3 linked regions of the Astyanax mexicanus genome follow. The protein of the gene in region 2 purifies or fractionates together with the protein of the main gene of each other region. This does not show direct contact. Links are inferred from orthologs where the notes say so. Each region holds a gene or a part of one and is shown on either strand. Other genes may lie near its edges.

The links.
Region 1: the proteins of usp10 (region 2) and prkaa1 purify together in Homo sapiens (affinity purification with western blotting; 3 studies listed by BioGRID). This does not show direct contact. The link is inferred for Astyanax mexicanus from reciprocal best matches to the Homo sapiens genes USP10 and PRKAA1.
Region 3: the proteins of usp10 (region 2) and sirt6 purify together in Homo sapiens (affinity purification with western blotting; 4 studies listed by BioGRID, with this or other methods). This does not show direct contact. The link is inferred for Astyanax mexicanus from reciprocal best matches to the Homo sapiens genes USP10 and SIRT6.

What each region holds. Positions count from the first base shown.
Region 1 is NC_064408.1:16,915,254-16,922,203, reverse strand, and holds the start of prkaa1 (5'-AMP-activated protein kinase catalytic subunit alpha-1), read right to left. Parts: upstream 3,084-6,950; 5' UTR 2,935-3,083; coding exon 2,838-2,934; intron 1-2,837. Other genes in the region: kyat1 (kynurenine--oxoglutarate transaminase 1), read right to left, coding at 6,661-6,720. UniProt on the Homo sapiens protein: Catalytic subunit of AMP-activated protein kinase (AMPK), an energy sensor protein kinase that plays a key role in regulating cellular energy metabolism.
Region 2 is NC_064423.1:38,366,895-38,374,515, reverse strand, and holds the start of usp10 (ubiquitin carboxyl-terminal hydrolase 10), read left to right. Parts: upstream 1-4,595; 5' UTR 4,596-4,856; coding exon 4,857-4,877; intron 4,878-7,621. Other genes in the region: marveld3 (MARVEL domain-containing protein 3), read right to left, coding at 1,104-1,180, 1,312-1,520. UniProt on the Homo sapiens protein: Hydrolase that can remove conjugated ubiquitin from target proteins such as p53/TP53, RPS2/us5, RPS3/us3, RPS10/eS10, BECN1, SNX3 and CFTR.
Region 3 is NC_064411.1:46,344,165-46,351,516, forward strand, and holds the start of sirt6 (NAD-dependent protein deacetylase sirtuin-6), read left to right. Parts: upstream 1-4,333; 5' UTR 4,334-4,464; coding exon 4,465-4,530; intron 4,531-6,145; coding exon 6,146-6,273; intron 6,274-7,352. Other genes in the region: zgc:165603 (CUGBP Elav-like family member 5), read right to left, coding at 2,535-2,994. UniProt on the Homo sapiens protein: NAD-dependent protein deacetylase, deacylase and mono-ADP-ribosyltransferase that plays an essential role in DNA damage repair, telomere maintenance, metabolic homeostasis, inflammation, tumorigenesis and aging.

The sequences.
Region 1 (6,950 bases), on a different chromosome or scaffold from region 2:
AAATAACCTTCTCTTTGGCCACTGAAATGATCCTCTCTGGCTTTGAATGTGGCTTAGACAAACATGCATGAACTGTAAACAGCAAAGCATGCTGTGAGCAACCATCTGGGTTAAAAACACAAGCCTACATAGCACAAACTCTGAGTTTTCATTAACTAATGGTTCATATAACTCTGTTATTTAACATCTATTTAATTCTCTATTAACTATTTAATCTAAAGAATAACTACAATAGGGGTAAAAAGTGTCTTTGTCTGCAAAATTAAACAGATTGCCAATAGAACAGTGATAATATTGTGTAATTCGTTAGTTGTAGAGGATTCTTCATGAAGAAGCTCCTATATTTATGAAAAAGTAAATTACCATAGCCTAGCTAAGTTACAGCCTTCATACATTACTCGTAATCTCATGTAATGTTTCTTTGTTATGAACACATGAAATTAAGCAGTAAATGAAAAAGCATTTGGCCTCAACAATTTCCCATTTTTAACTCAAAGATGGTTTGGAATTAGTTGAACAGAAAGACGTGAAAGAAGAGCAGCCAACAAGTAAGTGCTCAGGACCTCTGAAAACTTCTTCAAAACTGTTGGACAAATAATTGAGGTTCAACCTCATGAGGTGAACAGAGAGAAAACCCAGAGTTGGCATAACTGTCATCAAAGAATATGGTGCATCTCTGAAGAAATATTTAAAACATATCATTGAATGTTTAACACTTTCTTTGTTTAGTACATATTTCTATTCATGTTTCTTCATAGTTTTGACAGTCTTCAATACTAATATTAACATTCTGGATTTAAAAAATTAAAACAGAAAAATTTAATGAATTTGAAAGGGGTGCACAGTACTTACTTAATATTATTTACCATTATTTTGTTTTTAAAATAAGTAAATAATAATTACTAATGCACTTACTTAATGCACCTAGTCTAGGCAGCAGCTGTCATCAGCAGATAAACAAAAAGGTAGTCTTGGATACAAATTAAAACATACAACACCAGCGCATACACAGAACAATAGAAGACTTGCAACTAAACTAGTGGTTTATACAGGCTGAAGTAGGTACAAGAGCAACGCTTAGAGAAAAGAAAAAGATAAACATGTATTACTGCTAAGTTTAAAAGTTGGAGACAGTAAGTCTAGTCATTTAATGGTGAGTGTGTGGCATAATCCACCACCCTTGCATTTCACACTGATTGGATGAGTTCAGATGCCTGGATTTAATCACTAACTACAGTTTACACAAAAGAGAGCAATTGAGAGACCCTCAGAAAAAAAAATCCATCAAACTTCCAATACTAAAATCATTCTACCCTCATTAAATGAATTACTCTCAACCACAAACATTTAAAATCATAATTAGTGACCACAAGTAAGGTAAAAATATTCAATCATAATACTTAAAAACATTTTCACAATATGCAATACATAATTCTAACATGCAGATATTAAATCCTACTATCTAAACCTGAACCTATGCTTCACTTAGTAAGTTGTTTAGCACTGAAATAAGGAGCAGGACTTCTTTTAAAGTTAGAACACGTAGAAGGCATGTTGCACCTTATATCAAAGCTGATAGAAAAGATGCTAGAAATGTGATCCTTTGGGGATTCCTAATATATATTAATGCTTAGAGAACAAAAAGTACATAATGATGTCAGCCTGTGTTGAATAAACAAGACCCCGACTCATTCACTGCAGTTGCTGTACAAATACACCTCTGGACACGCTTATGTACTCAATGTATAAGGCTTTTAACACCCTTATATTTTTAATGATATAATTTTCCTTCTGGTTGCAATAGTTAAGCTACTTAGTGTAGATGACTCAAATTATTTCAATAATATAGTTACACTGATCATAAAGCAACGTTTAGCAGTTGAATTTTCTGACAATAGAGAATTGGGTATAAAACTTAATCAAACATTTTTTTTTCATTCAACAGAGTGAAGAAAAAATTGGTTTTCCTCCAAACTGTTAATTATCTAGTTTTTCATTTTAGCCTTTCGCAATCAGAATTGCAAGAAAAATGAAAAGGTAAACCTTCTCTCGATTTTGTGGGGGGGCAGACATAAAGAAATTATTTGGAAAAATGGATGAAAACTTATTTCTTGTACAATAAACTACATAAAAAATAAATAATGAGTTTTTACATCCACTTTTCCATTTTTGCATTTAGCTTCAAACGGTCAGACTTACCTTTTAATTTTTCGTGAAAGGCAAAGGCTGAAGTGAAACTACAGAATTAATCATTTGGATTTCTTCTTTACTATACTGAGTGAAAAAAATGTATGACTACGGTTTATACCCAATTTTCGAATTTTATTTATATTTTCTTAGTATAATTTTCTAATTTCGAATTTAGTTTGATACGGTCAGAAAATTAATCTGCTAAACGTTAAACTGACCGGGAACCAAGTCTGCTTAGCCTAGCTAACCTAGCTCCCGTTAAAACCAGCGGGCTCGCTAACAGATAAAGCTAGTGCCAGCTAGCCAGCTAGTTATCGTTAGCTAATATAAACAACCAGCGTACGGACCCGAAACAGCAGAATAATCAACATACAGCATATAAACAGCGCTAAACCTCGCTTCAAACTACTTAATGCGCGTAGTGTTGACGGCCAGGGAGACTTAATTCGCTTCTGAAAAGCTGCAAACGTCAGTTAACGTTAGCTAGCCTAGCTTAGCTAGTGTTGCTATGCTAGCGGTTAACTAACGCGGCTAACGGGTGGGTTAGTTTCCTTAGCTACCTGAAGCCCCCACTCACTCACTCACTCACTGAGTGATAATCATCATCCTCCGGACGCGGATTTCAGCTAAAAATACACAAGATTTACCTTTAACTTTCCCGAATGTTCCCACTCCCAGCGTGTCTCCGAGAATGTAATGACCGATTTTCACCCTGCCTTCATGCTTGGGCTTGTCAGTCGCCATCTTCCCCACGTTAGCCCGACCGAGCCGAGGCGGCGGGGCTGGGCAGCGGCGGTGCGGATCTGCGCGGCGGAGGGACGGACACGATCACAGCGGAAAGCAGCAGCGATACTACTGAACTACCCAACTACTGCCGAGCTACAGCGGAGCCGGTCTGAGTACAGAGCTCCGCCCACAGTGAACTACTCAGACTGTAGGGGGCGCACTGCAGCCACGGGATTCAAGACTGCTCGATTCAAGATTCGACTCGGAGTCGACTCTGAGTCATAAGCGTGTGCCAAAAACTATGGCTGCGTCCAAAAACTTTTCTAATTCCAGGTCTTATTCCATCGTTTTTCATTCAAATGTCGAGTATGAATGAATGCTGAAGTGCTTCAGTGTTTCTGTATAACCCTGCTTTATTTCACTGGATTAGTGGTCTCTGAAGAAGGACAGGATTTCTGCTCTTCAAGTCATGTTAAGAGACTCTGATTCATAAGCCTTGTCCCAAACCATGGACAATTTAAAACTGTCTAGTTGTGGTCTCTAGTATGAATGAATGCCATGTGAGCCCTTTTTTTGTAAAAAAAAAAAAAAAGTATTAGTGGTCTCTAAAGAAGGACATGATTTCTGCTCTTCAAGTTAAGTTAAGAGGCTTTTGTTATGAAATTACGTTCCTCCGGGACAATGGTGCAAGATCAAACAACAATACAATAGACAACATAGAGTGTGTGTGTGTGTGTTTGTGTAGAATGATGGGTCGGTTCAGTACAATCTTTATGTGTATGTGAAAAGCAGTGGTGTGGGGGGAGGGGGGTGTCAGATCAGTTCTGTGTGAATGTGTTGGGTGTGTGGGGAGGAGGTTGATCTCTGTGATCTCTGTGAGTTGAGGAGTCTGACTGCCTGGTGGATAAAGCTGTTGCAGAGTCTGGTAGTGGAGGCTTGGATGCTCATGTATCTTCTGCCAGACGACATCAGAGCAAAGAGTCCGTGTGAGGGATGGGTGGATCGTCCACAATGCTGGTGGCTTTGCGGATGCAGCGCAGTGTAGATGTCGGTGATGGAGGGGAGAGAGACTGATGATTCTTTTAGCTGTCCTCACAACTCTTGTCCATGAATATTCATACATGCAAACATATAGCCTTTGATGGGCTAACAGCACTGCAGCAGAGAACTCTTCCTGCCTTCCCCCAACAGTCAATTTTAGAGCTCTAAAACTCGAAGGACAAAATGAGTGCTAGGTAGAGTTAACCCTTACACTTTCCTTAATGTCAGACTCTCAGAGCCCCCCGCGGCATTGGTGACATTTCTTTCAGCTAAACCAACACTAGTAAACTCTTACCTCAGACTTGGTGATTCGGTGCTTAGGCAATTTCACCACGTTGAAGCCCCATAGAGTCTGCTCTATATCATAAAATCGGGTGATTTGACCTGTGTTCTGTCGAGTTGTGCTACCTTGTCAAACCGTGCTTCCCTAGTGTTTATTTAAGGTCTCTGTAAAACGAGGAATCCACCGGAGAGCCAATTTAAACCTACAATTTAAACGCGAACTAGCTGGTGAGGCTATGAATACTATTTCACAAGTTGATGTGGAAACAGATGCTTTTCTTAAACAACAATTTTTCTGAGTATTTTCTTTTCTTAGCTACTGCAAAAATGGAGGTTAAAGAACAGTTCATATGCAGCCTGCATATACAACTCAGAGAGACCTATTATATTTCACAAACAACAAGAAAAAGTGGATTTTACATTAATTTACTATATACCATTGTTTCTTGTGTATTTACACACACAAGAAACAATGTTTTTCTAATTTTTGAAACTCAGATTTTAATGGTTCTTAAAATGTGTCCAAAGCATATTTTTAGATTTGTGCTAAATTATTATCTCATATGGAAACATGTTAAGATTAAACCTCAACACAGATAATTACAGTTAGCCGACATGTTTTATTAGCACATAATACACACTTTTAAAGCACAGGATCTTAATGACTTGAATTGTGCATCAATATGTAAGCAAACATAGAAATAGATTAGTTCACTATTGACCAATAACAAATGAAACCACTTAAGGAGTTTAAGAATCTGAAGCAGCATAAGATGATGCAACATCATGGCAGTATTCACTGTTTATTCTGTATGTCATTATAGGTGTTTTCTAGCTAATCCAGAAATATATTAATGGGTAGGTTAGTTTAAGATAAATCAATTTCACGTCCTTTGTTTTTGCTTTTGGGTTTTAATTTCTGAAGTGTGGAACTATACTGGTTTTGCAGTGAACATTAGCATAGATAATATGTGCAGTACTAATGTGCTGATTGCATTTGAGGAAGGCAGTTCCTTTCGTTCAGAAACTATTGTTACTCCTCCTCTCCTACTCCAGAAGAAGGATGTAATAGGACATTGAATATTGATAAACTGAGCCAATCACAATGCTCTTTTTCAGCTCCCCTAACACTGCCCAGACAATCACAGCTGCTGCAAACAGTCAGCTAATGTAGGGTCATCTGGATAAATATGAATGTTTATTTAAACTTCATTTAAAAATACTACATTTCTGAAATTATGTAAAATTCCACAAATTCTGCTTGTTTTTAAATTCCACAAGTTCAGGTTAGACTTGAGATATCCCACATTAATGCACTTTGTTCAAACTCAATATAGAATTCTACATATAATGAGAAGACACAAATTCAACTTCAAAACATGTTTTATTTTACACTGATCCACCTAATTCCAGTACAACTTGCACACACCAAAATGGCATTAAAACAAACAGGATGGAAAGTAAACTCAACAGACAAACAGACATCTATTTGTACATCATAATCAATAAAAACAGTGTGTCTATTGTATAGACTCACAAATAATCTGTATGAGCAATAAGAAGTTGATTTCTCTAAAGGAGTGCATTTTTCATTCACACTTGTGCAACACTACAGTCAACCTGAAGTAGTTTTAATGAATACAACCCAATGCATACAGCATAAGCAATCAGACTACTGTTGTTTAGTGTGGAAAGTTGCTGGATGGGCTGCTGTGAGCTGAGGTAGTTTAACTAATATTAAACAGCTGACTACAACCAAATCCTGAGAATTAAGCAAAAACATATATTTTTGTGAAAAACAAAACAAAAGATACCTTGATCAAAACTGACAAATGTACATAAGACTGTGTTGTTGTTTAGTACACAATACAACTCTATTAAAATGTTAATTAACTGTAATGTTTCTTTTTGATGGAAGCAACTAGCTCCCTCTGTTGGCCAAACATGTAAAATCACCACATGTAAAATTAACTCCTCCCTGTATGAATGCATGATTCACTTACTCACTAGAACAGTTTTAGATAAGCTGCATCTCAGCAAATACTGCTGACTACATTCTGTTCAGCATAACTTTTTTTTTACAAACATTTTGAAATATAGCAAATCACATGAATCATTATGATACGTATTTCTACCTCAGATGATTCAAAAGTTTCACTTCCCAAATTTCTGTTACGGGTTCTATTTAAGTTTGTATTCATTCAAACAAGATGAATAAAAAAATACTAAAATCCAGCTTTTATTAAACAATTTTGTCAAATATTAAAATATAACATTTTCTAAATAAACACTTTTCTATAGAACTATACTGAACCAGGCGTCCTTGGCTAATTATATTGTCCAACTATTGAGGTCTGCTGTGTGAAGCTCATATTGGACGGCTTTAAATAATCATCTAATGTCTTCAAAAGTGGCCAGCACTCACTGTTTGATTCTCCACTGTTTCAGTATATCTTCTGCTGCCTTCAGTGTTGAGTCCTCCTATTTTAGGAAAAGAAAATTAGAATTAGAAATAGAATTACAAATCTAAAACCATGCCTTTACAATGTTTCAATATACCAAAATATGCCTGCTCTTATTGCCATCTTTGAAGAGATCCCATTACATCAGTGTAAAATGCACAAGATATATCTGTTCTTCTAAAAAATGTTTCAGTGTTTGTCAGTGTTATCACATTTTAATGGTGATACATTTTAATGATACCCTTATAA
Region 2 (7,621 bases):
CTCCCTCTGGGCAAAATTCATTCAATAGAAATCCTGGAGAGTTTTTCATTTTTGTCATTCTAATCATGAAATAACATAGGTGAACTTTCACCTGCATTCCATCTGCATCATTCACACATACAGATCATACAGACTCTAGGAGAGTGCAGAGCGTTCCACACATTATTTACTCTTGTGCAATCCACACGTTTTTTTTTTTTTTTTTTTTTTTTTATAAATCAATTCCCCCCAAAAATGCCCAATTGCCTGTTTATTTATACAATAATACTGTAATTTTGTAAGGAACAAAAATGCAATGCCACAAAATGGTTCATACAGAATCCTTCCATACATGGAAACCGTATATCGAACACAGATTAGTCTGAATTCATGCCTTTTATTATTTCATATAAAACGAACCTTCAGTTATAAGGAGAGCTTAAGCTTTTTTTAAGGCAGACACCCAATCAGAAAGACCCCCTAACATTTTATTTTTTTTAACTAAATTTAGCTATTCAATTAACAAGTAATTTATAAGGAAATTTTAAATTGTAATCAAATAATACTAAATTAATTTTAATTTTGCAATTTTTGATAAAATAATTTTAGTTTCTGGATTTTCAGTAGATCCACAATTTTATATTATATGTGGCACAGGTCAAAAGTTACACCTTAAATTCAGTGGTTTTTCATTATTTTAACATTTAAAAAAAAACTATTAAGAAAAACATATGAAACAATTTAGTATACAAAAAAATGTTGAACCAGAACCAGAATATGAACTAACATACATTTTAGATTTTACAGTCGCAAAGACCTGTAAACATCATGATGAAACTGGCTCTCATCAGGACTGCCCTGATGGGTATTTTGATTTGTTACTCCTTATTCATAATCTGGGTGGATTCAAAAACTAAAACACTGAATGCGAAGGTACGTTTAATCCTTTGGCTGGTATCATATTTATATTATTATTTTTTTATTTTGTTTTACTATTATTAAAACTCTTATTAAAGTATCTCTACTTTGGACTCTTTGTTTCAGCAATCTTTATTTATGTATTTGTTTTTTTTTTTTACTCTCTTTATGGCTCTAAGCTTAAAATAAAGTACATGTCCACGAACCTCTGGAAGTTGTAAGATATCGTAGATTGTAAAGAGACGGCTGGTGCGTTGACTCGTAGGTTGACGAGTCTGAGTACCTACATAAAAAAAAAAAATCAATATTTCAGATTTTAATGGTCATTAAAAGTGATGGGTGTTGATTTGATGAAGTTATAATAAACCTGTTGATAATATACTGTATTAAGGTGTGTATAAGAGTGTCTCTCACATTTCCTGAGGCTCGTGGTGATAGGCGTCCTCATAGGCCGGTGGTTTTGAGTTAATTTGGGTCCTGCTGTGTTCATCTCTGGGATACCCAGCGCTCCTCTCCTCCCTGTATCTCTGATCATCTCTCCGGTACTCCCTCTCTCTGCTCCTGTCTCTCCCATCACGACTGGGACGATCCTGGGTCCTGGACTGGTGATGCCGGTCAGGCATTGCTGAATTTACCTGTTATACAGTAAATACAGGAGGTTAAACCTCATTAATTACAGAAATTTGTAGAAATACACTGTATGTTTGCACTATAATGTAAGATATTGGCACTGGTGTATGATTTTTGTATATATACACACACACACACACACACACATATGTATATATATGTATATATATATAATTAAGAGACCACTTAAGTTTCTGAATCAGTTGTTTTAATAAAATGAACATTGTTGTTTTATTCAATAAACTACGGACAAAATTTCTCCCAAATTCCAAATAAAAATATTGTCATTTAGAGCATTTATTTGCAGAAAATGAGAAATGTCTGAAATAACAAAAAAAGATGCAGAGCTTTCAGACCTCAAATAATGCAAAGAAAACAAGTTCATATTCATAAAGTTTTAAGAGTTCAGAAATTAATATTTGGTGGAATAACCCTGGTTGGTTTTTAATCACAGTTTTCATGCATCTTGGCATCATGTTCTCCTCCACCAGTCTTACACACTGCTTTCTCCTGGTGCAAAAATTCAAGGGAGCTATTTAACAAAGGTAACTTACTTTTTTATCATGTTTTACTACACCAAATGTCAATTTTACACCGGAGTTCTCCTTTAAGTGTAATGGAATTATTAGAACTTAAAGAACTCAAAAAGAAAATGTTCAATTTTAGTAATGATACCTTACAAAATTAACTAAGAATAGACTTATTTTAAACCCTACTCATTTTGTTGGGTTAGTTCATAAAGAAAATCCTGTATAGATGGTACGAAATGCAGAAAACTGTGATAAGTTTGTGTGAAGAAATGTACTCTGATTTTTATATTGATGAAAGGTGTTTACAGGGTTTCCTTAACGAAAAATAAAACGACAATTATGGATTATTAGCAAATGACAAACAGAAATTGAAATAGAAACTGCAATTAAACAACTAAAGCTAGAGGAGTATATATAAGCAGCCAATCTAAATAAATTACAGAAGGAACACAGAATAAGCAGGTGTGCCAAGACTTCTGTCCACTGTTTTTTTTCACTGTACTGTGATTTTCTGTGTGAACAGACAGGTAAAAGAAGGCTAACCCTGTGAGCTAAAGCTAACAGTCACATTTTCTAACTCTGTACAGGTGAGCAGGTCTGAATTAAAGATATTAAACCCCACTCTGCCACCAGATACAGCATTTAAACACGACTCAGCGACACCTACCTCAGGATCTGTCTGTAAAACAGGAGATTTATGGTGTTTAAATTAAACAAAACGCTTCCTGGTCACTCTTCAGCTTGTGTTTGTGTCTGTAAGCTCCTCCCCTTCACCTGTGACTCCAGGCCCCGCCCACAACTACGCTCTTTCACACAGGAACAATCAAATCACTGTGGACCCTTCTCTTGTAAAATGCATTCATACATTTCTCTATCAATTAATTTTTTTAAATAAAAAAATACGTTTCGCATTTACCTTTTTTCATATATTAAGAAATACATATTAAAATGGACTAATTAAATAAATATATATAAATACAAAAATATATATCAATAAGATACAAATAAGACAATAATAACTAAAATAAATAAAATTGCAGTTTTTATACCAATGCGCCATCTTACATTTATACTGTGTATTCTCATTTCTCTCCCATTCCCACTAACATAACCATATGGAAAAATTACATGTTAAACTATTATTTTTCCTTAAATTAAAAAAAAATAAAATAAATAAATTCATATGTAAAGAAATACATGTCCATATATTAATTGATTTTCTGTGTGGGATAGCCCCATCCTATATTTAAAAAATATAATAATTAAATAAATAATAAAAGAAATTAAAATATTTCGCATTTACCTATGTATTCTCACATCTTACACATTCTCACTAACACCCCTATATGTTATATATGTTACATGCATTTATAAATACATTTGGAAATGATTAAAAATGCATGAATTAAGATAATAGTAATTGAGATTAATACAATTACAGTTTTTAAACCAACACACCATATAGAAATAAAATAATTATATATTTTAAAGGCATTAATAAATACAACTTGCTGGATGTAAATGAATGAATTAATGATTGAATGAATGAATAATTGAATAATATATTGTCACTGTTTTTATTTAGTTTTATTTTAGTTTTCGTGGATTTCCTTAATTGTTAAATGTTGTGTACCTCCACAATAAAAAAATGAATAAGCAATGTACTGTAGTTTTTTTGTACTGATTAATTTATTAGTATTTTTAATGTTCTATAGTTTTAATGTATTTGCAAAAAAAAAACAAGACAGGGAGTACATATATACAGTACCAGTTAAAAGTTTGTGTGCACACACCTTAAATTCTGTGTTTTTTTTGTCATTTTAGAAATGTTCTGTATTGTAGATTAATACTAAAGTCACCCAAACTATAAAAAAACACATAAAATGATTTAGTAATGAAAGAAGTGTTAAGCAAACCAGAATAAGTTATAATAATATTATATTTTTTAATACTTCAAAGTAGCCCCTCTTGTACAGTTGACAGTTTGCAGAACTTGCCATTTTTTGAGTTGGTATACAGTGAATAGCTCTATTTGACTAATGCTTTAATCCATATTATGGCAATACCTACTAAGTAAACTAAGTAAAGAAAAAAAATACTTTAAGAAATGAAGGTCACTCATGGATCAATTCAAAACTCTGTGATGAAACTGGATCTCATCAGGACCACCCTAGGAAATGAATACCAGGAGTTCCCTCTGTTGCACAAAATAAGTCCAGACTAAGACTCAGATAAGATAAGATAACCAAAATGCTTCACAGTGTGACTTCATGATTCCTTATGTGTTCCTTATATTTTTTATTCACCTGTGGACATGGAAGTGATTGGAACACCTGTATGCAATTATTTAATTTAAATTTAATTGGCTTTGTTTTTCTCTTAATCATTTAAAACACATTAAAAATAGTAGAGTCGCCACTGTTGGTTTAACTCTTGAATTAAAAAATAAAAATATTTTAAAAAGTGCGCGTGCCCTCTTCCTACCCCGGACGTGAACGAGCGAGAGCGCGCGCGTGCGTGTGCATGCGCGTGTGAGCGCGACAGAGCGGAGAGAGCGAGCGCGAGACAAAGATGGCGGCGGCGGCGCGAGCAGCAGCGTGACTCGGTGTAGTGGAGCCACACGTCCCGAAACAACCCGCGGAGAGAGAGCGCGAGCCAGCGAGGAGATGGACGGCACGGCACAGTGAGCGAGCCCGCGAGCGAGCGCCCGTTACCGTCCCGCAGCCGCCAGAACCGAGGGATAACCCGCCCACCCACCTGCCCGCGCGCGCCGAGGAGGAGAGCAGAGTCACCGGGAGCATGGCCTCGCGCAGCAACCAGGTAACAGGGTAACGCCGCTCGCGCTAGCTAGAGCCTGTGTTTGCGCGCGAGCGCCTGCTTAACACGCAGCGCGTGGCGAGGCGAGGCCGGGGACTGAGTTGAATGTTTGAATGCATGTGAATGTGGTGCTTAATGTGGAGCACGTGCGCTCAGAAATGTACGTAGACTGGTAGCTAGTGTTAGATAGCCAGTGTAGCGTTATTAGCTCGCTCGCGCTGCTGCTACTGCTGCTGCTGCTACTATTGGAGAGCTCATTGAAACGCACGCGCACAGCGCAGCACTCCAGCGCGTGGTGCTGCTGCTGCAGGCCCGCAGCTCAGCTCAACACCCAGTGGCGCTGAATCCGGATCCAGGAGGGTGAAATCCAGACCGGGATTTCTCTCAGATTTAGCACCCCCCCCGCAAGCACCCCCCTTCACTTCCCAGCTGCAGCAAATATACAGTATTAAACTGTGCAAAAATAACACTTAAGCATCAGTATTAGGGGTGGGTGATATAGCCCTCAAATCATATATCGATATTTTATATAACGGTATTCTTGGCTATATGACTTTTTTATTATAAGAAACAACTACTGCAACTAAATAAATACTATTTTATAAATTGAACAGTTTCAAACAACCAGTACAAACCATATATAATATGAAACATATATAAACATTAGTCTACTTCGTAAACAGTAACTTATGAAGGCTATTATTGTATATAATAATATTCACTGGGGGATCTGAATTTTATGTTCAGTGTTTTGCCTGACTCTCTGTACTGCACATTTCTAAAAAGCTGCTTTGTGACATCAGTTGTAAAAAGTGCTGCACAAATAAGGTTGATTTGATTTGAAATAACATAAGCTTAACAGAATAGAAAATGTAACAATCAAGTAATGAAACAAGTAAAACCTTCTAAAAAAAAACGAAAACTGTAAACAAATAAAAAGTAAAAACAGTAAGTAGCAAAAACCGTACAGAATAGATGAGACATGAGCTATTTCTTAATTTTTAACAGCAAAACCCTGAAAATGTCAATGATAAATTTGCAGATTCATGTTATTCACATTGAAATCCAAATTGGTCAGTTGAAGATTGTGAAAAGTTGTGAAAAGTGTATATTAAAATGTTTCTAGTGTTTAGTGTTTAAAAATCATATTGCTGTTATTGAGACATTTTCTAACAATATAAACAATATTGATATTGAAGTTTTGACAATTCCCATGTCCATTCTTCTATCCTTTTGTAGCTATATTTGCCTTTTTTTGTAAGTTTTGCACGTTATTATTTGTAGTGTGTACTACTTGAGATTATAATACGTATATATATTTTGATTTTTGATTTAAGTATATAAATAAATGATTTGAATATTTTAAGTAGAAAGTTAAGTTGAAAACCAGGCAGTTGGAGCAAAATCCCGGGGGTGGATTTTCAGTGCCTGGACCTGGATTCGCCTTCTGTAGCAGCTATATATCTCTACCACGAGTTTTTAAGCAGCTTCCTCGCTTTAATACCGTTTTAAAGCAGTGGGGTTTTTATGTTTGGTTAATTTAGTTTAATTTAAAGCTGTTTTAATGTCTGAGTGACAGTTTTCTGAGCTGAACTGGTGGAAGTGTGGAGAGCCCGGCTGAGCTGCAGCAGGCCCGGACGCTAGCCACGGCGGCTAACAGAGCTAACGCTAGATCAGCTAAGCCAATCTAAGCTAAGCTAAGCTAAATGGCTAATGTGACTAGGCAGACAAGAAGGCTCTGAAACAACGTGTTTAGCTTTTATTTAAATGAACAGCGATTAAACACTGAGTAAGTAGACTCTATATATTTAAACACCGCAGTATTGCGCTGTTTTTGGCAGTTTTTTTAGCTGTAAATGGTGTTTTAAAGATATCAGGTGGTGTTAGCTAGGCTAATGACTGACAGTGTGGTGGGCCTGTTGATTGGGGGCGGGCTCACCGTGTGCTGCTTTTAGTTAGCTAGCTAGCGACTTCATTCAAAATGGTTTGTTGGAAAACACGCAGTTAAACGACGTGCAGAAGCCCCGACACGCGCTATGTGTCGACATATCTGCTCCTAATAATGACTGTCGTGTGAAATAACGTGGTTTATTTAGCCCATATGTCTCAGGTGGCCTCGTTCTGTGTGCTAGCGGTTAGTTAGCTAGCGAGGGAACTTCGCTCTGACTGCCGATTCACGCGTGCTTTGACGTTAGCCACTTAGCTAAATACCTACATAGGGCAAGCTGACTGTGGTAATATGTTTCCCGTTAAAATGAGGTAAAAGTAGCTCGATTTCACAGTAAAAACTCAAGTTAAAGATCTCTTTAATGTTAGTATTACTAGTAAAAACCATGGCAAACTACAAGTTAAAACAGTAGCTCACTTTTAACATTAAAACTCGAATTACAGCTCTGTAATGCAGTTTTTGCTTGCTTACCTATGTCAGCTATTAATTTTTTCAAGTAAAATCATAATTACATACCAACAAAGCTTTTAATATCACAACAGAAGCCATAATTAGTTTTTTTTTATTAAGTTTGTACTACTAAGAAGTGTCTTTAATGTTCCTGTAATGTAAACCTTACTTGTAGAAACTATTGCAAGCTGTTTTCCCTTAAAATGAGGTAAAAGTAGCTCAATTTCACAGTAAAAACTCAAGTTAAAGATCTCTTTAATGTTAGTATTACTAGTAAAAACCATGGCAAACTACAAGTAGAAACAGTAGCTCACTTTTAACATTATAAACTCGAATTGCAGCTCTCTGT
Region 3 (7,352 bases), on a different chromosome or scaffold from region 2:
ATGTGTAATATATAACAAATTATAACACAGTAGGTTTCGACTCTGCAATGTGATTGGCTGAGAGGCGTACTATGAGTGCCGTTATCAGCCGGTACTGCACTGTAACCAAAGCTCTCCATGTATTACTCCGCCACATACAGGTAACCTAGCAACGATGCAGCGCTTACAAGCCAAACAGCGCAGCTACAAGCAGAGCAGCAATGGAACTATTTTAACTCGTGTAGTGTTTATAAACAAGCAGATCATATTTTCTCTTCCCCTTTAACTGAAAATCTTTTAATAAACAGCGATAATGGAACTGTAGTATAATTGCAATAATACACTCGAGGTTCGTGCTATAACGTGTAATATTGGCACTGCTGTTCTGACCTACGGCACTTGGCCTGTGGCCAATATTACACAATATAGTACTCCCTCTCCTGTACTATTGTTTAAATATAGCAGGTCAATATTTACCAGCATTTTGCAGCCCTAATATCAGCCCTGATATGTATCTTGTATCATAATCAATCTTGTTGTTGGTTTCATACAAAATATACAGTACCTATTCTGAGGATATCATGGATGTTCTAGCATTTCTCAGCACATTTGGAAAAATATACGTTGGGGTGTCATTAACAGAGCTTTCCACTGATAAATATCAGTTTTGATGGTTTTTATGTGCATTTCTTTGTGTATATATAATATTTCTGCCATGACGCAGAGGAAACATGTTGCAATTGGTGTCCATAGCTGACTGTATGTTACAGATGCTGCAGACAGAGTTTAGGCTGGAAAACACTGGAGTACTCCTTTAAAATGAGTGATTATGTAACAAGCATGTGCCTTCAGAGCATGTAATGGAATGGATGTGTTTCCTCCATATAGATAGAGCTCATTGCTACTTCTGTGCTGAGTATAAAAAGCAAAATACAAGACAAATAAATACAACAGGTTACAAGTGCTGTATGGACTGATGTATTGTTCATTTCATAATCCTGTGTCATTCTTGTACACACACACACATAGACACACACAGAGACACATCTCAAATAACAGCGTCATGCTGATACACCCTCGTTTTTTTGTTACTACAGACCAAAAATATTTAAAATAAAAATTATGCTTGAAAAATATGTTTTTATGTCAGAATATAAAACAAAAACCTACAAAAATGCTCGAATTGAACATCGTTTATTCGCTATTTCTTAAAAAAAGAAGAACACAGCAAAAATGCATGAGCGCCCATGCCCATGCACGCGCGCGCGCACGCACGCTCGATGCAACAGTCCTCCATCCTATATAGAAATATGAAGAAGACTGGGGGGTTGGGGGGTTTGGGAGGGAGGGTGATGTGTGGAGGGTGGAGGGGGGCTCCTAAATCATATGCATTATGTGCGCGCGGGGCTGCCCTACTTCCGCGAGCGAGCGAGCGAGCGAGCGCGCGCGCGCGCGCGCACAAACGCACACGCGCGCTCCCACACGCGAACGCACACCGTGCAAAATGTGCGTGAGGAGTGGGAGTGACCGCGAGCGTGCACGAGCGCAGCCACCACTATCAGTCAGTGTGTTAGTTACAGATCGTGACTCGTGACTCTCTGCCTGCTTTAAAAACAAACGTAACAAACACAAACAAAGAACAAAAAAATGGATTCTTAATATGAATTGTCTTTTGATCGACAGTGCATCGAATATTTATTTGGTCAAAAATGGCAAAAAAAAAAAACACAATCGTGACATGATCAAATCGGGAATATAAATATTAAATATAAAATAAATAAGTCATGTTGTGCTCTGTTTGTGTGTTAATGATGACAAAAAATGTAAAAGTTTTTTTCTTTTTTTAATTGTAGTTTTGTAACTGCACATTTATGCTATTTATTTTGTGCAAAAATGAATCAAAACCTGTAAAAAAAAACATGTTCAGTATTTGATATTTGATAAACTAGTCAATTTCAGCCATGTTTTATTTTGTTTTAAAGCATCACTATTTTTTGCATATTAATAAAAAACAAAAAAGAAATTGAAGAGTAATGGTAAACTTTTGTGATTAAAAGATTTTTGGCCACAAAAGAAATAAGAAAATAAAAATGTAAAACAACAATAGAAACACAATGACTGTATAAAAGCTGTAAAAGTGAATTTATTAAAAAAAAAGGAAAAAGACATGTACCTGATCAAGTGTCTGTTTTCGTGTCTAATCATGGCTAATAGGTTAATGACATAAAATGACATAAATGATTTCATTTCGTAACATTCCTACAGTAATATGTATTCATTACTGTATAAGTGTGGATCGGTGTGTAAGTGTGTAAGCGTGCACGAGCGAGGAGAAATTTAGGGATCAACAAAGATCAAAAGAGAGAATGAGAGAGAGAGGGACGGAGCAACAGTCCGTTTGGCTAATCGTTTACGCACGAGCCTTGTGCATTTGGTATAATGATTGCAAATTTCTCAAATCACTTAAAAAACATTTAGAAAAAAACAAAGATTCACACAAAATACACAGATAAAAAACCACCACCACACCCCCTATAAGCATCCTTATCATTTACCTTTGTGCATGCCGGTGTAGCGGTCCTTCAGCACGGTGAGCTCGTGGATTTTGCCAAACTGCTCAAACAGGGGCTTGAGGTCCTTCTCCTCGAGGTTGCGCGGGATTTGTCCTATGAAGAGCTTTATGGCGTCCTGGTCTTTCATGGTGCCGCCGTCCGCGTGTATGGACACGGCCTCGGAGCCGCTCATGGGTTTGGCGAACGTGATCTGCGCGTACTGGGGCTGCTGCGCGAGGACGAGCGCTGGCGGCTGGCTCGGTGCTGCCCCCGGTCCGCTGAGGAGCGCGCTGGCGTGGGTAGGCTGGGGCTGGATTTGGGGCTGGTGGTGGTGGTGGGGTGGAGGAGGCTGATGCTGATGGTGGTGGAGGTGGTGGTGCTGAAGCTGCTGATGCTGATGATGCTGAAGCTGCTGCTGATGCTGATGCTGCCTTCTCGCTTCAGTCTGGGTGAATCTGGCCATTCTGAGCGCGAGCGGCGCGGTGAGGAGCAGGCAGGCGGGATGATAATAATAACAACATACACACGCAGGCGCGCGCGCGTGCGCTTACACGCACACACTCATGCACACGCGCACACACACACCCGGGCGGGCACCCTCGCGCGCACGCACACATACACATACACGTATAATACGCAGGCGCAAACGAGCGCGTGCGCGCGCGCAAGGCAAGGGGAAGAAAAGCAAAAAAGAAAGAGCACAGCTGGAATAAAAATAAATAAATAAATAAATACTTAAATAAATAACAGAACGTGGGGGCTCACTTTCTGTTCTAGACACATGTCACGCGCATGGCCCGTACCTGATGGAGGAGAGAGGAGTAGTGTGTGTGTGTGTGTGTGTGTATTGGGTTTGTAGTACATGAGATAAAAGAGATACCAGAAAAAAATAAAGATGCTCAAGTATAGAGCTCTCGCGCCCCCTGCAGGTCAACGCGTGCTCGCGCGCTCACACACACCCCAAAAACCGTAGATTAATGCTAAGTCATATGCTCCAATATAAAAACCACTTTCACTACTTTGCGTTATAATTCATTATACTGGAAATTGTAAAACTTCAGTAAATTAGCAATAAAAAATTACAAATAGGACCACACATCATAATTAAATGAATTTAGTCAAGTTTCTGTGTTTTTCAAACAAAGGTAAATAAATACACTGTGGGATTGTTGTATTTGTTGTGCACTAAATTGTACATAAACATAAACAAATATGTATATAAAAAATAAACAATACGCACAAAACTTTCCTCAGAACTGTTTTTTTAAGAAATGTAGTATTTTTTTGATTGTTAACTATTCTAAGCCTTTTTATGACATATTCTATTTAATGTAAGTACATTCCTTAGAATGCTTTAGTTTCCCAAAAGATACAAATAATGCTCTCATCACAGTAATTAATTAACACAGAGAAACATTAATAAATGTTATGAATAATCTTAAAATGTGTTTCTTTTACTTACATGCACTAAATATTCTGCAATATTATTTGCTGCATTATATTATTTTATGCTATATTATTTTTTTGCCACATTATGATTACACTGTTATACTCTTATACTATATGAATATGATATTACTATACCCTGAAATATCGTGATATTATTTTAGAGCCATATCGCCCACCCCTACTATCTATCTATCTATCTATCTATCTATCTATCTATCTATCTATCTATCTATCTATCTATCTATCTATCTATCTATCTATCTATCTTTTTGTTGTATGGAGTCGGTGTTCCGCACGTGTGACGTTGTTTCACACGAACTGCACAGTAGTGCACATGTTTTGTATGACGTAGTGTGGAGAAACAGCACGACTGGAGCCCAATAGAGTCCGGCTGCAGAGAAAAGTCCGCGGGATTTTAAATCTAAGGGCGATTTTTCTGCGATTCACCCGCTTTTTAAGCAGGCCAGCAGTCTCAGCGCTCAGCATGTCTGTTAACTACGCCGCGGGGTTATCTCCGTATGCGGATAAAGGAATCTGCGGGCTGCCTGAGGTAAATAACGCTAACGGTAGCTAAAGCCGCCGCCGCTGCTGCTGCTGCACTGTTTACTGCTTAGCTAAGCTAACTAGCCTACCTTGGTTAGCTAGTTTAGCTAAGCTTTGTTGTACCGGTGTGTGAAGGTTCTTGTCAGACACTTCGTTGAAAAATGACATTTACTAAATAATTATTATGTTTATTACTGTTTTTTATGTAACGTTACTAGCTACAGTAAAGCTTTGTTTTTAAATGAAGGCTAGCTTAGCCTACATAGCTAACTAGTGACTAACGTTAAATAAAGTCAGGTAGCTTTACCTGAGATAGTTGACGTTAAACTAAGAGCTGCATTCGTTGATGCTAGTAAGCTAAGCTAGGTTAGCTAACAAGTTAGCAAGAAGGTTTAGTAGAAAACACTAACGTTACAGCATGTAAGCTTGGCATAAGCATACCCTGCTTGTTAAGCAGTCTGTATAAAACAAGATAAGTTAATGTATTTTGCATTTAAAGAGCCCATATAACAGAAAACCCGACCATAATAAGAGTCTCTGTTCATTTGCCGGTAACGTTAGTTGCCAAAAGGTAGTTCTAATAAAATATGGCAGCTATACTGAACCCAAAAGAGCCCATGGTGGTGTAGTTGTGTGTCACAGACCCTTTAACATATGTGTATGTAAAATATACTAATTACAGCGCTTTATCCTTTATTTTAAATCATGAAGTTTCTGAGTGACATATGCTAAACATCCTGAGAATTACTTTTTATTATAGAACAGTGTGTGAATGTGTGTTTGTTCACCTCACCTTATTTCCAGAGTGTAGGTGTGCCATGGTGAAGTTATCCTGTGGTCAGGCTGTTCTGCAGTCAGTCGTATTTTCGAATGCTTTTATTTCCAGTTTTACGCTAATGTTTATGTTTGACACTTCCTGCTGTACTTTAGGACATCAATTTTTTTATATATATAAATGTAATAATAAAAACTGTTTTCCCTTTTTTTAATTATCAAATATTAATACAGTAGTAGATGAATACATGCAGAGCTTTGTGCAACAAGTGATATTCCCTGAAGACAAGGTATTTGTTCAGGACCATCCAAACATAGCCAGATATATATCCAGAAAGACAAACATTTCCTTAATGGCATCAGCTTACTTTTACTGTTAAGACAGTCGGACTGTGTTTTGGTCCTTTAGCTAAAATGTAAATTAGTTTGTGGGATTTAAAGCTGAAGAAGTGTTTCAGAAGTGTTCACAGCTGTAAACACTTGGATAAAATAATATCTGTAATATCCAGGTAACGTTAAATATTTAGATTTGGCAATTGTATAAAAAAAAAATCCTGAATAAATAAAACTTAAACAGAGTTGACATTCTGGCTCTTTCTATGAATCCATACTGTGAAGAATAGAAATTGTTTGTATTCCACAAATACAGTTAACATAATTAACTACGCTTTCTTTGTAATTAGATATGCAGTTGGCCAGTGATATTTTTTTTTTACAGTTGAAAACACCATTGAGCAGATTGTTCATTTGCTAATAGAAAAGACCAAATGCAGAAATAAGCAGTACGTCATAGAGCCACAGTATCTCCTGATGATCGGCCACATTTAAATACTTTCTCTCTTTTGCAGGAGTTTGATAGCGCAGAGGATTTGAAAGCTAAAGTGGAGACGTTGGCGCAGCTGATCAGAGATTCTCAGTACATGGTGGTGCACTCCGGAGCAGGAATCAGCACTTCTGCAGGGATTCCTGATTTCAGGTAACAGTCAGATTCACACTCCTTTTCCTCCACATGCAGTTAGATCAGAAGTTAGAAAGTTTCAAAGAACGTAACTTGCTGCTTTGATTTTTTTGTTAGTATGTTATCCTTTGGTAAATAAAGGTTCCCAATATAGGGTCCAGTTTAAATATGTTTTTACAGTACAGGATGTTATTTTTGATATTTTGACATTTAAAAAAAAATACTCAATACACCTCCAGGCAGTAGTGGTTTGCTAAAGTATTCATACCCCTTGAACATTTTTACCTTTTGTCACCTTAAAACCATGAACTATATTATAGTGAGATTTTAAGTGATAGACCTACACAAAGCAGTGAAACGAAAATGATGCATGGTTTTCGAAATTTTAATCAAAAAGAAATTTGACATGGTCTAAATGCAATGTGCTGTGTATTAGGGGTTGGCGATATGGCTCTAAAATAATATCACGATATATCAGGGTATTTTTGCGATAACGATATACTTGGCGATATAGGAAAACATAAATAATTCATTCATTTCAGGAATATAGTATAATAGTATAACAGTATAATCATAATGTGGCAAAATATATAATATAGCATAAAATAATATAATGCAGCAAAAAATATTGCAGAATATTTAGTGCATGCATATAAACTGCAAACTAAAACAATTATACAATAAATACACCTAAAGCTTCACAGTAAATAATAGACTACTTTTAAGACAGAACAGCCCTATTATCATGATATGGATTTTTAATATCATGATATTTCTGTGTCACGATATATTGTATACAATATAATATTGCCCACCCCTACTGTGTATGGAGAAAAAAATAACAGCTTCATTCTGTGGGGATACTTTTCTTCAGCAGTGACAGGGAAGCTGGTCAGAGTTAATGGGAAGATGAATGGAGTTAAGTACAGGGCAATCCGGTGAGAAAACCTGTTGGAGGCTGCAAAAGACTTGAGACCGGGAAGGAGATTCACCTTTAGACAAGACAATGACCCTTAACATACAACCATAGCTACACTGGGATGATTTAAATACAAATATTCATGTGTTAGAATGGCCCCGCCAATGTCCTGCTTTGT